Rhinolophus ferrumequinum: one gene and its partner. The protein of the gene in region 1 interacts with the protein of each later gene in a pairwise test. Links are inferred from orthologs where the notes say so. Each region holds a gene or a part of one and is shown in the gene's direction. Other genes may lie near its edges.

Region 1 (7,872 bases):
TCCAGATTATCCAGCATAATCGCTCCTATTTGAAACCCATTGATTTTGGACTCTAATCACACCTACAAAATACCTTCTCAGCAACACCTAGATTTGTGCACGATTGAACAACTGGGGACTGGAGCCTAGCCAAGTTGGCACATAAAAACTACCCATCACAGTCCCCAAACTCTTTCACAGGATCTACAAATCCTCCTTTTTCCAACTATGCATGAAAACTGGATTTTTCTTCATAAATTTCAAACAGAACAATGGTACAACAGAGAGAGTAAATATGAGAAACCAGCTGTCTTCTACTAATCCAAATACTGAAGAGCTTTAGAAAAATTCTCACTGATTTTTTCTTTTGAAAAATATAGTTATTTTTCATAAAAATATGTGACATATGAACATGTAATGAATATATTCTTTTTAAAGAAATGAATAATTACTTTAAAATATTCTAGTTCTAAGTCTCTAATACAGTACGTATAGGTGGATAGAACACACATAAACATAAATTCATTAGGATCCTAAATAATTGTCAAAAGTGTAAAGGAACCCTGATTCCAAAAGGATCAAGAATCACTATTCTACACAAGTGTAATGATTATTTAACCTGACCTTTATCAATATAAGAAACACCTCAATAGCTATCTTTATTAGGCCTAAATCATTGTAAACGTCTTCCGTTGCACAGCATAAAGTATAAACTTGGCCTTACTTTATGAATATCAAAGCTACCTAATCTGTTCCTCCTCATGCGCTCGCTGATTTAAAAAAAATTGTTATGCAAAGAATTGTAAGCTCCTTTTGTAACCTCCTAATGACTTGACCGGCGCTATAAAATACCTATTTGAATTTTGTCTATACGTACTTTCAACATCAGTATTCAGTATTTTATTCTGAAACTTATTTTCTGCAGATCTCAGTAAATTATCCCTGCCAAGTTTCCTTACATCATGGTCAAAATATTTCTGCCAGGGATATTTTTATTCATGTTTTATATATCAGAAGTTAGTAAACTAAAAAAAAGGTGGGTAGGAAGGGAATTGTGGTGACTTTATATCCCAGTTCATAGTCGTTGAATTATTCTTCCCTATTTAGTCACCTTTTGGTTAACCAGAAAAATTGGAGGAAAGAAAGTGATGGAAAAGTCAAAACTACGATGGAAACAAAAATGGCCAAAAGATGGTACAGCATTGATTTGATGAAAATTAATCTAGGCAAGACTACATATCATATTACAAAACACATTATCATTACACAGTGTCACCCTAAAGAGTATAGTCAAAGGAGTATAAGTATAATCTAAGACCCAAGTTGCAAACTGAGATTGCTGCAGCTATCAGGCAGGTAATGTAACCTGCTGAAACAGTCCGGATGGGGAGTGGAGAGACTGGTGCCCTATCCAAAGTGAGTGGCCATTATTCAGCAGAAGCCAACTCTTGACTTGTAGGAATGTGTACCTGTGGTTGTCAGTTCTTTGGCTTGTTCCACAAAAAAAGATTATTATGAGAAGTATCCCAATGTTTAATGCTGCCAACTAATGTAAAATTTAAGTCTGGGCAGGCCAAACAAAACATTTCGGCAGATTATCACCTCTGTGCAACATCTGGTTTAGGGACACTACACATCGCATAGATTACTTGATGACAAAGGTTATCATCCACTGAGGTATTCTCTGGTTGCTATTTTTCAACTGAGCCTGTCCCTGCCCTTTCAATACCATGTAGTAGAAAGGTTCCTCATCATTATTTTGTTTTCAAAAATTACTTCAGAAATCAAATTAATTAGTGGAGGCCCAGACTAAGACTTCACACTCCCTCAAATTGCCCATCTTCAAAAGTTTGCTCAACCTTTATGTGAAGAAAGAGCCAAGCTGAGGTTGGGGAAGGGTAGACAAAACTCACCAAACTCACCTTGTTTACTCCATGAATTAGTCCTACAATTATCCTAACTCATCACCTTGGAAGTTCAGGAAACATCTAAGGCAAGGTTTCTCAACCTTAGCACTATTGACATTTGGGTCAGATAATTCTTAGTGGTGAGAGGATGTCCTGTGCCATGCAGGATGTTTAGCAGCATCCTGGGACTCTACCCACTAGAAGCCAGTAGCACCCCCAACCCAGTCTGACAATCAAAGATATCTCCAGATATTGCCGAAAGCACCAGTGTGTGTGTGTGTGTGTGTGTGTGTGTGTGTGTGTGTGTGTGTGTGTTGGGGATGGGGTGGGGGGGAGCTCATCCCTTGTCGAGAACCACTGATCTAGGAGTACTCATGCATACCCCTTGGGGGGTCTCTCACCTCTTCTGGAGCTGCTTACACTGTTTTCTTCCTAAGAAAAGTGTGATAAATGAAATGTATTCCATCATCTTTCCAGAGATGTTTGGTGCCCTGGGCAACTGTCCATCCCTTGCCTCAGTCCTGAAAGAGCTAGTTTTATGGCTAATCTCTCATGTTACCAACCCCTCGTGTTTTTATTTGTTCAACACTTCTTCCAACTCTTGCTCATCAATCTTATGCCAGTATTTGCATCTGGTTAACCAGCTAAAGGGCTTCAAGTTACTTTCCACTGCAAGTACTTAAGACAATATTTTGCCTGTTTAGTGAAGATTCATCTAGACACTTACCTTTCTCATGACTAAAATTAAGACAAATAAGCATTGACTTATCAAAATCACCATAAGAATATTTTCCCCCACAACCTCTTCTGTTATATTTCAGTTTGTTTGAAGAATTTTATGACCCTGTATTTTTTCTTTTTATGGGAATAATTATGTCAATCTGTTAAGGTTATAGGAGAATTAAACGAGTCAGATTATGTGGAGTGCTTAACAGTGCTTGGCATGAAGTAAGTGTTCAATAATAGTTATAACAATTACCACTAGGAATATTTACACAGCTTATCATAAATAATTGGTCTTAAGCTTATATAGTTCATCCTGGTAGTATGGTGCTGGTGGTAGGAGATGGGGGCAAAAGCTTTGCCAACAAGTTCTTCTTTAATTGGCAGGTTTGGGCAGCAAGAATATTAAAGGCCAAACCTGACAAACTGTCTGAAAGTCATATATGAAAAACGTGATGCAGTCAATGAGAAATAGAAATGCATATAAAATGCTCAGTTCACTTAAGTATAAGAAAGTTGACTGCTGGAAAAGGGAATTACGTAAATTTCTGTGACGTACGGTCTTCTAACATGATTTATTAGGGAATTCCAGCAGTCAGACAAAAGAAATATGACCTCTCTAACAAAAACTGAACATAGTATTTCTTATCTATTATTTGCTGTTAGGGTTTGAATTAGCCAGAGAGTGGCATTAAATCCAACTTCATGATACACATAACTTGCCACGTGCCTGTTAGTATTTAACGTGTCTAAGCAGCTTGGAAAATGGACCTATGCTTTGATAACTCCATATCCATTGGTCAGCATGGCAGCCCAAGAGATATTCTAGACCCTCTTGTCCCTAAATTGGGTGTGCCTCTCTCTTTGTTGCGGAAGCGGTGAGGGAAAGAGCACTGGCCTTAGCAGTGAAGAAATGTGGTTTGTGGTCCCATCTCTGCTACCAACTTCCTGTGTGGACTTAATGTAGCCATTAACTTTTTTGAGCTTCAGTGTCCTCAGCCATGGCACCAGGAAGCTGTGCTAAACGACCTCTACCTTCGGGCACTACCATTCTCTGGTTGACCAAATCTGTGAGTCTAGGTCATGCGTGTGCCAAGAAAGCATGAGACTCTGAGAAAAGGGAGGAAATGGAACAAGCACTTGCACAGCACTCTTCTCTTTAGCAAATGGAGAAACGTGAAATGCCGAGTCCCTTTTTAAAAAAATCCCAGACAGGCCTAAGTGTTAGGCAAACTTCATGTTCTTAAAAATTCCTAGCTCCTGTCTTACAGTTACAGATTTAAGGTGTGGGTGTTTCATCTTTTCTAAAATATGTTCTATGTCTATGTTTCTTCTTAGCAATCTAACAGGATTCAACAGTACTCGTAAGGTCACAATTACCCAAGCAACCAACCAAGATCCTATGGAAAGATTTTCATGCATTTAGGTATTATATTCATTTCTTTTTACCTCATTTTATTCCCAAGTTTGGTAATATCCCCCTTTTGTTACCCTCAAAATAGCTTGTTCCTTGTTCTATCTTCTCTTTTATTTACGGACCCACCAATAATTATCCATCAATAGGACAACTGGCTCATGACATTTTCCTCAATTAACGGAGTTGTAGGCAACTCAGTAAAAGATTATACATGAAAATTTCCTTTTAGGGTGAGAATTAAAGCTCTCAAAATAAGCCCATAAATCATTCCGATTTTCTGTCAGTTTGAAGCATGCCCATAATCTGTACATATAATACATTGGTCCCATTTTCCTTATTTTGTATAATCGAAGAGTAATCAGTAAGGGCTATGACTACTGCAAAATGAGACTTCTAAATCGTGGCGGGCTAATTCCTCACCAGCATGCCTACGAAAGTCACTGCCGACAGTCTGTTCTTTCTTTCTTAAGTGCCCTTGCAATCCAACAACTGAATTGTATTCCAGGCCCCCAAGGAGACCTACAAGGTTATAATTGTCTCACACTTAATTGCATGGATGGCCAAAGGCGAATGGACAAAGTCATTTTTGTACCATGTGTAGAGAAGAAAATCACTTATGAATTTTGATATCGCCAGCTCATTGAGTCACAGAAAGTAGAAATTTCTGCAAGAACCCTGTCTAACAGTTATCATGCTGTGTACACACACAGCCAAGCCGAGAACACTGCCTTCACTGTCTGGGACTGGGGCTCACACTCACAGTCATGCTATTCTTCTCTTTCTCTCGTAGCCCAAATGAGGCGGCTTATTTTTCCCTTTTCCTTTCCTGGTCGCAGTTATTTCTTTCCAAGCCATCTTCTTCTCTGAGTTTCCAAGGGAGTGTTAGCTTAAGGCCTTGCCTTGACACCATCAGATATAATCAGAGAAATGAAAAATGCCATGGGAAAGAGAAATGATATCTTAGCCACACTGTACAAGAGAAATAGTGCCACTTCCAAGCCCTGTTTCCCGTAGCTTCTAATGGAGCCAGCTCAGGAGGGACGTCAGCTTTGCTGGGGTAAGTAAAAGTCACCTAGCCCCCGCCATATAATGGGGACGGGATCATCTCCAATGGTCACTGTTTTAATCAGGCCCAGGATATAACTACTTTTCTTTATACCACATTTGAAATTTCATTTGGCTTGCTGGGCGTGAGATCCACATTCCCTTTGCAGCAGAATGTTGTTGTCTTCTTTCATTTGATTTCATTAGGATAAGCTGATGACAAATGCTACTTCCCTATGCAATAGAGCTTACAGCCCAAATGTACCTGAATACGTTTTATGACAAATAATATATCCCACATCCATCCAATGTAGCCTGAGGGAGCAGGTGGAGTTAGTAACTTGTTCTCAAAGCAGAAAGAAACTCGAGCTTTGAGGAAGAGCGTGAGATCACGATACGGCTTCCCAATTTCACCTCTAAACTGAAGCTGGCACATTGTAGTAGTTGTCAACTGTTGGTGGGATGCTTGGTTTTCCTTTGAGTTCGACAGAGAAAACTGATGTTTAAACAAAAATATGTTTACTCCCCGTGTATCAACTACTCGCTCCAGAAAAAGCCCTATTCATGCAGATAGGTCCCTACTGAGCACCTTTATTACCATCCTACTGTGGCACGTTGTTAAAGCTGGGGCAAAACACCTCCAACCACAAGGTGAAAAGTTATTATTTTTTTTTTTTAATCCCTGAGCAGCTAGTTGTTTACCCTGCAAGAGTTCATGTACCTGGTAGAACTCATTTGCCCTTGGAATTTGCTGTATAATTTTGGTTCAGGTAACGAGAGGGGAATTAGAAATTCTGGGGAGGGACTTGACCTCCCATAGTCGGTCTGGCACCCTGCTCCTTTCTTATTCTACCGTCCTTTCTCTGTTTCCAGTTCTTGCAAGCGTACAGTCAAGAGTGCTAGGAGTGTTATTCCATTAACAGATGCACTGTTCCATGAGACCATTAATCAGGCAAATCACAGATGTTGTTTTCCTTTGAGATATTACTATAATTACTCCTAATAACACCTACTGAATTACTCATTTCATTGTCATTGATGACTTTTTAAAAATATATCAGATCATTTATTTCTTAAATTCTATCTATATGGATTTAAGTCGTTTGTGTGCCTCGGAGGGTTCAGAATCTGTTTTCCAGTTGTCCCCACGTATTCCCCAAAGAATGTAGCAGGGTAACCTCACATATGGATAGAGGAAAAGGCTCTTGAAAGACTCAAGGTTGAAACCCACATGCTGAGTTTGCAATCAAACGATATTCTCCTTATGCTAAAAGATGGGAGTTACTGTTTTGAGGCATATGGTGCTAATAAATCCATTTGAAGGAATCCGCTGTCCTCAAAGGCAGTGCTTGGAAGGGAGCTTAGTGTAGCTGCCTGATGCACAGAGGGTGAAACTGGGACCCAGAGAAATGAAGTATGAGTTCCTGAGAAAACAACGACCAGAATCCAAGGCTCATGGCTATCATTCCAGGGTTGGTTCTTCTATTACACTCATTCTCCAAATGGCCCGTGCCATATCAACAGGGAATCAAAATCCCCTTGACTCAAGAGTAAACTAAAACAGGTTGGATTTCTGAGACTAGTTCTGTTCACTTTCCCACTCTCCTAAAAATAAAAATTTGGCCAGACCTTCTTAAATCCTGGTTTAAACCCAGGGAGCTCTGTCTTCATTGCTGATTAAATATCACTAATTTCTTCTGTTTCAGTGACGTTGTTTTGTAATTTTTTTTAACAATTAAAGCATCTGGAGCCCTTTTTCCTCATCTTTTAATTCTCTGTGAAATATGTGTTTATTAAGAGATTGAGTAAGGAGGTAGTAACAATAGCAGCAGTGTGGCTTCATCGAAAAAAAAAGACATTGGGATTGAACTTGAATTTGAATCCCTGTTTTACTTCTTAGTAATTGTGTAACATTAGACAAGTTGCTTAGCTTCTCAGATCCTCACATTGAAAACATGTGTGTCATCACCTAGTACAATGCAATGACTGCCTTACAGAAGCCTTAATAATTATTTGCTATTACTATTAATTGGGTGGAACCAGATGGGAGAGAATGTTAACTGTCATGGCATTTTTTAAAATATTCTATAATGTCTTAATGTCTAGAGGGAAAAAAGAGAGTCTCATTTTCTGCTTTTGGTATGACTGATCACTGGCGACTGCTGCCAAGGCAGGACACCTTGCAGGTAGTTAGCAACCTGCAAACAAACTGTGATATTTTGGGAGGAGGTACTTATATCTCTCTAGCCGAGGTTGTTGCATCAACCTTGGTGTGGTGTCGTATTAATTTGAACTCACCAGGTTCAACCAGAAACAACGCAGGAACACAAAAGAATACGTTGAGTGTTTCTTTACCTCATTTGCCTGATTAAATAAAAATCCATGGTCCCTGCAATCACTAGCAAGCCTGATGGTGAAGTTTTCATACACATGACACCATATGTTCTCTACCTTCTCCTCCCCCAGCACCACCCAGAGCGGCAGCTCTCGAAATGTGGTTCCTGGGCCAGCCACATCAGCATTACTCAGGAACTTGTCAGAACTGCAAATTCTAGGGCCCCACTCCCAACACGCTGAGGCAGGAACGCAGGAAGACCTAAAAATATGTTTTTCACAAACCTCCAGATGGTTCTGATGCTTACCGGAGTTAGAGAACCATGAGCTGGAGAGTCCGCCTAGATGTTTTATGTACTGCAATGTTACTCCTCAGGGTAAGTGGCAGGACAGTGCTCAAAATGATCTGAGCATAGGATAAGACCACGTAGGTGACACTGATGTGGCATCAAATAGCTGAATCACACA
Region 2 (7,049 bases), on another chromosome or scaffold:
TGACTTGCATTTCTGATTACTGACTGTGGTCATTCATAAAGTTGCAAAATATTTCATCACAACACCAATGATCTCAGGCTTATCACTCTCTCAATGTCAGAACAAAAGGATTTTCTTAAGTGCCTAAGTAAAAGTTTAATAAATACGTATACATGAAAATCAGGAAAAGGTCAACTTTAAAAGAATTTTTCAAAATCAGTTTGAATTAATCTCTGATGTAATAAGTACAAGAAAATAAATTTATTATACAAATTCTATGTCACTCTTTTCTTAAATATCGCCTCAATTAAAAATGAATATTATTTAATCCCCTCAAACTTCTCTAAGTAAGCTGCCACGATCAACTAAATAGAATTTTTTTTTTCCCGTCTAGAAAGAAACAAGCAAAATATTACCCAGTCACTGAAAACAATTCAAACCATTTCCAGTCCCTAAGAATTTTCTCTGAAATTCATGCTGGTAAAAACTATGGCACATTTCTCAGCTCTCTTCAATTTTCTAAACATTATTAAACTACACATATAAATGAAATGGTTTGAATATGGTTAGAAGCTAGAGAGCTAAAGCAGCACCAAATACTCAAAGGAGTCTAATAAGCAAATCTATGTGCCATGTTGGCCAAACAGTAAAAAGAGCAGTTTCAGTTTCCTCTTCTTAATTCCTTAAGTTACTCAGTTATTCATTTTTCCCCCCAATGTTTCTGGTTACCTCGTTCAATAGCTTGAAAACAGCAACTGAACTAAAAAAATTAAAATTTGTTATGAAACTTCTCCTCTAAAGTTATTTATCTACATCTTTTCAGATTGTTGGGTTTGTATCTGCCTATTATTTTGGATTTACTTTCATATTTAGTAGGGTTTCCAGGTGGGAATTCCCGCCTGTTCTCAGGATTTTTTTTTTTGCTTTCCCATTCCAGAATCCCGAGATATAAACTGTTTTCTGTTCTCCACGATGAATCATTTCCAGAAAGTGACGGCTGATATTACCAACCACCTGGGTTCAAGGAGCCGATTTTCCCAATTTCCCAACCAACTTTTCTCGGGATTCGCGAACAGGAAAGTGAAAAAAATTCCTGAGAACGGGTGAGAATTCCCGCTTGGAAACCCTATTAGGCTCAGGCATTCATTGCACACTTACTATATTGACCTGGTAGTCAGCATTAATCAATGTAATTAAGCACATTTTTTTAAAAACAGGAATCAGTGAATGAAGAATCATTTAAACAATACAAATGTTATCTAAATGTGTCATCAGCACACGCGTGAGCACATGTCACTCCTAGCAACCACAGTTTAAAAATGCATATGGTGGAAATCCATTGTGAGAACAACCACTCTCTTTTGTTGCCCCAGAAATACTGAACATTTCCCTTTTAAAATTCCTACTTCATAAGATTAAATGAAAAAATACCTAAGAACTATCATAAAACAATGTATGACCAATGAAATCATAAAATTCTGAGTCCTCAAGCTAATGATGTGGATGTGAAAAAAATGTTACTGGGTAAAGCAGCATGTTGTGATGGCAGAGTACAGTAGAGGGAAAGGAATTGGAAGGACATCAAGAGATTTTGAAACGTCATTTCATCCATTTGGCTCTCATCTGAAAATTAAGTTTTAGATAAGAATCTAAGAAAGCTTTAGATTCAAGCTTGTTCGGAAAGTCTATGTTTCAGTCAAAATGGAATTCCTACTAAGAAAAAAGAAACAAGAAGTTAATCTTTCCTATGAACAAAAAGAAAAAGAAAGCAGATAAATATATCACAATCACTTAGATCAGTTAAAAAAAAAAAAAAACAACTGGAAGGCAAAATAACTCCATACTTACATAGAATGTTGGAATAGCAAATCACTTAAGGAACTATCACATTTAGTGGGTTTGATGATACAGGCAGAAATGGGGAGATAAAACTTGCCTCAATCTTTATACTTTTGCATTATGCCCAATACTGTTATATACATTTTTACTAACCAATAGAATTTAGCAAAATAAAAGAAGCCCATACCTTCTCCATTAACTGTGATAGATGAATATTTTCCATTTGAAAATATTCTTACATAGATATAACTTTCCATTTGAAATATAATTCCTAACATAGAATATTTTCCATTTAAAAATAAACTTACATGGCTCAAAACAAAATATAGACCTACTTATATTACCAGTACTAAGAATTTGAGAGATAAGGATGTCATGTAAGAACAAAACCAAGCAAGTTAGTTATCTACCAGATTAATATTCGATTGGCTCACATCTTGAGACTTGTAGTCATTTTGAAAATACATTTAATTGTAAATTACAAGGCCCAAGCACTCTTTTCGTTTCCCTTTTCTTGGATTACTTCCAAAAGGTATGACTTCCGACAAAGCCTAAAAGAAAATAAACTCGGGGCCAGCCCGGTGGCTCAGGCGGTTAGAGCTTCATGCTCCTAACTCTGAAGGCTGCCGGTTCAATTCCCACATGGGCCAGCGGGCTCTCAACCACAAGGTTGCCAGTTCAATTCCTTGAGTCCCGCAAGGGATCTTGGGCTCTGCCCTCTGCAACTAAGATTGAACACCGCACTTTGAGGTGAGCTCCCCTGAGCTCCCCGGTGGCTCAGTTGGTTGGAGCGCATCCTCTCAACCATAAGGTTGCCAGTTCGACTCCGGCAAGGGATGGTGGGTTGTGCCCCCTGCAACTAGTAAGGGCAACTGGAGCTGAGCTGTGCCCTCCACAACTAAGACTGAAAGGACAACAACTTGAAGCTGAATGACACCCTCCACAACTAAGATTGAAAGGACAACAACTTGACTTGGAAAAAAGTCCTGGAAGTACACACTGTTCCCCAATAAAGTCCTGTTCCCCTTCCCCAATAAAATCTTATGAAAAAGAAAATAAACTTTGGGTATTTGTTTTCAGATGATGTGACTTACTCTCTGGTCTGGATTTCAAAGATGCCAATATAATGTGGATTGTACATAATCAAAACAATTTTTTTTACAAATATATGCTTATTGTAGAAACTTTGGAAAATGCAGAAAAAGTGCAAAGAAGTAGAGAAAAAACATTCTCCATCTGGTCAATGGAGATTACCACTATTTACTTCTTAGGTAGGCTTGATACTATATACCAATACTACCTTGGTATCAAGATTTACTTACTTTTTATATCATGAATATTTCCTTCGGTCATTAAATACTTGGCAGTTTTAAAGTGTCTGCATAGTATCTCATTTTATAGTAATGCCATAATGTGAAGCTTTTTTCTTGTAATCTGTAAAATAAAGAGCTACAGCTAATTACAAGACTTCTTATATCTGCACAAAAAAGAAACGACACAGAAAAGAAGGTAAAATGTAACATGAAGACCATTAATGGAACATAGACAAGTGATAATAGCTCAAGTAGCGTCAAAATAATAGGGTTAACCAAGTCACGTATTTATGTTTACTTTGGGCAAGTCACGTATTTATTTTTACTTTGGGACCAAAGGGTCACCCATCACGCATCTCACTTAATGTTTGTATTTGTACCTTGAATGACGATTTACTTTAATTAGAGAAACTCGCGGTTTTATAACCCAAGGAAATACTACAATCATACCAGGTTCAAGCAACTTTGGTGTGGTCTTTTAAATACTACGATTCCCTTCAGAGAGGGCTACGCGGTAAAACAAAAACCTGTCTGGCGCCGAAGCCACTAGAAAGACATCTTTGTCAGCAGCTCCAGGGCTAACTAGGGTAGTCCGGGCCGGGCGGATCAGACCTGAGCCTCAGATCGGCCGTCACCAGGATAACCGGAGCCGCAGACAGGTGTGAGCTAACAGAACTTTAGGCAAGTGGAGCGCAGACGCGCCTGCCGCGCAGGCGCCCCGCCCTTTTCGCCCTCAAAGCCTGCGCATGCGCTGTCGTAGCTTCACGCTCCGGGGTTTGACCCTTTGTCGTCACAGGGCAGATGACCCTCGTGCGTCCGCCTTTTCCCTCCCTCTTATGTCCCTCCCCGTGTCCCTCAGTTTCCTCCCTCCTCCCCCTCCCTGGGGCGTCCCCAGCCGACTCCAACTTCCGGTCAGCGCCCGTCTGCGGAAGGGTGTCCCGCCTCTTCCGCCTTTACTTTAGAGGTGGCGGCGGCAGCGACGCCTGCGCGTCTTCTTTCAGGGTCAGCAGACGGGTCCCCTGGGCGGTCCACTTGCGCGCGTCGCGGAGCCGCGCCCGGGGGGCAATGGCGATGAACTATAACGCGAAGGATGAAGTAGATGGTGGGCCCGCGTGTGCTCCTGGGGGCACCGCTAAGAACCGGAGGCCGGATAATACGGCCTTCAAACAGCAAAGGTTGCCGGCTTGGCAGCCCATCCTGACGGCTGGCACGGTGCTACCTACCTTCTTCATCATCGGCCTCATATTCATCCCCATTGGCATTGGCATCTTCGTCACCTCAAACAACATCCGCGAGATCGAGGTGAGGGGAGGGAGCGGCGGTGGCAATTGGCGCCGCTTGGGCGCTGGGTCCTGGCCTGCCCACTTCTTCCTCAGCTCTCTGGAGGTTGACCTCCGGGCTTCACCTCCCTCACGCTTTCTCTCTTCCTCAGTGTCTTCTTTCTGCGGGCTTTCTGAATTTGCAGTTTTGTCCGAGCTTCCTCTCGCGATTTACATGGTTAGAGACGAAATGAATGTTTAATACAGAGGGTGGGTCAGATAAAGAACGCCCCTTAATAGGCGGTTTGTGTGGCTCTGGAGATTTTTACCTCCAACGGAGGTTAAGAGAGAGAGAGAAGAGAGAAAAGGAGGTGGAAAAAAAAGAAGTTATATCTAGATATTACTGCGGGAGAAGGGACGTGGTCAGTGTCATTATCTGTGTTGGGACTTCCTAGAACGCAGATTAACACCTTGGCCATTGTTGGGGAAAGGACCGAGAGTCGTAGAAGTATTGGTGATTTTTATCTAAAGAAGTTGTCGTATCTTACCAGGTCACATGTTAGGACAAATGACCGAAGTTTGCACAGTTACCTTTTATTTTGAGTTAATTGATGTTTTTAGTTGTAGGGTATGATATAGGTAAAAAGGTAACTTGAATCTTCTATTCCGGTTTTGCTTTTAGGCTGTGTTTATTAATAACCATGCCCTGCATTCACCCTCGATTTCTTTTTCCCCCTAGATTTTAAACTTTTTTTAAAAAAAGTCAGTGACCACACGGAGAGAATAAGTTGTACATTGTTTACAGAACAGTTTACTGATAGAAGACACGATAAAGATCTGCTCTTTTTCTGAATATCTGAGGGTATTTTTATCTGTTTGAAAGGGCAGTAACTGGTACCAAGGTCTCTTGATTTCTTCTGTTTTCTCAGAGTACATCATTTTTCCCTCTAGTCCTATTAAGTCCTTTTAAGCGTCTGCATGTGATTTAATGGGGCTTTCAGAGTAAGTTTATTTTGACTACAGGTATAGGTGTAAAGATACCTGTTTCCAGTTTAACTTACAGTGTTACTTTTCAAAGTAAAATATATATTTTTTAATTTTTTACAGTGCTCACTTCTGTGTTAATAACACTAATATCATTGCTTTTAAATCTTTTACTAAAAATTAGTTTTCAGTGTAATAACTAGAGAAAGTGTCACAGTATGTTTTTTCAGCATGTATTTTTATTTGCTTTATCTTTTGTGTCTCCCTAATAGTTCTTCAAATGTAGTACTTGTTCTCCCAGCCACACTAGGATCTCACATATGAGTAAAGTGATGTATTGCAAGTACCGTGGGCTCTAGGTTGGGGTCACGCAGAGCTAGGTTTAAATTCCAGCTTTGCCACTAACTAGCTCAGTTTCTTGGAAAACTTAATCTCTCTGAGCCTCAGTTTTCTTACCTGTAAAATACGTAAATAATGCCTATCTTTTATTTTTTTTTTAAGATTTTTTTTTTTTTTTTTAATTGGGGAAGGGGAACAGGACTTTATTGGGGAACAGTGTGTACTTCCAGGACTTTTTTCCAAGTCAAGGTTGTTGTCCTTTCAATCTTAGTTGTGGAGGGTGCCGGTCAGCTTTTCTTTCAGTCTCAGTTGTGGAGGGCGCAGCTCAGCTCCAGGTCCAGTTGCCGTTGCTAGTTGCAGGGGGCACAGCCCACCATCCCTTGCGGGAGTCGAACCAGCAACCTTGTGGTTGAGAGGACACGCTCCAACCAACTGAGCCATTAGGGAGCTCAGCGGCAGCTCAGCTCAAGGTGCCATGTTCAATCTTAGTTGCAGGGGGCAGAGCCCACCATCCCTTGTGGGACTCGAGGAATTGAACCGGCAACCTTGTGGTTGAGAGCCTACTGGCCTGTGTGGGAATCGAACCGGCAGCCTTCGGAGTTAGGAGCACGGAGCTCTAACCAGCTCCGCCTGAGCCACTGGCCGGCCCATGCCTATCTTTTAAAATGTGAGAATTAGAAACAATATAGCTAAGATTCCTGGTATTAAGTTTGTACGATAAATAGGTATGATGATTCCTAATCAGGAGATGAGAAATGGCGCCAGAGAGATTGATACTTACTAGTAAGCTAGAAGAATATTGTAAAATTGAGGCAGAAACCCAAACCAGATGTCTTTATTCTCAACCTTAAGCTTTCACACTACATTAGATTCTTACTGCAGTGTTAGTAGTTAAGTAGAAGAAAATAATTTAACATCAAAAATTTGATCATCTTATTTCAACTTCTCAAGATACTGAGGTGAAAGTAGCAATAATTTGGAATTTTATATGATGGGTAGTATCAAAACTCACCTGTTAATATTTACTATACTATGAAAATAAATATTTACTTTCTTTAAAACTTTTGGGTTTTGAAATAAAATAATGTTCTTCACACTAAGAAGTTGGTAAAGTGGAAATTTCTTTAGTTCTCATGTATATGCTTCTGATTTCAAGTGGCCTAAAGAGCCTGCTGCAGCTTGTTCTGGTTAAAAGGACACTGAAGTTAAAAGTCAAGGCATTAGAGTAGAAGTCCCACCTCTGTTGTGATCTTAGGCATATTTTTGAATGCTTTTTTTTTTTACTAGAAGAACCAAAAGGTCATCTGTAGATGATCTCTAAGATGCTGTCTGACTC

Evidence for each region. The genes of interacting proteins can lie anywhere in the genome.
Region 2: the proteins of ATP10B (region 1) and TMEM30A interact in a protein complementation assay, tested with the Homo sapiens proteins (2 studies listed by IntAct, with this or other methods). The link is inferred for Rhinolophus ferrumequinum from reciprocal best matches to the Homo sapiens genes ATP10B and TMEM30A.

What each region holds. Positions count from the first base shown.
Region 1 is NC_046307.1:30,055,301-30,063,172, reverse strand, and holds the start of ATP10B (phospholipid-transporting ATPase VB), read left to right. Parts: upstream 1-4,867; 5' UTR 4,868-5,083; intron 5,084-7,872. UniProt on the Homo sapiens protein: Catalytic component of a P4-ATPase flippase complex, which catalyzes the hydrolysis of ATP coupled to the transport of glucosylceramide (GlcCer) from the outer to the inner leaflet of lysosome membranes.
Region 2 is NC_046286.1:36,111,438-36,118,486, reverse strand, and holds the start of TMEM30A (cell cycle control protein 50A), read left to right. Parts: upstream 1-4,034; 5' UTR 4,035-4,196; coding exon 4,197-4,433; intron 4,434-7,049. UniProt on the Homo sapiens protein: Accessory component of a P4-ATPase flippase complex which catalyzes the hydrolysis of ATP coupled to the transport of aminophospholipids from the outer to the inner leaflet of various membranes and ensures the maintenance of asymmetric distribution of phospholipids.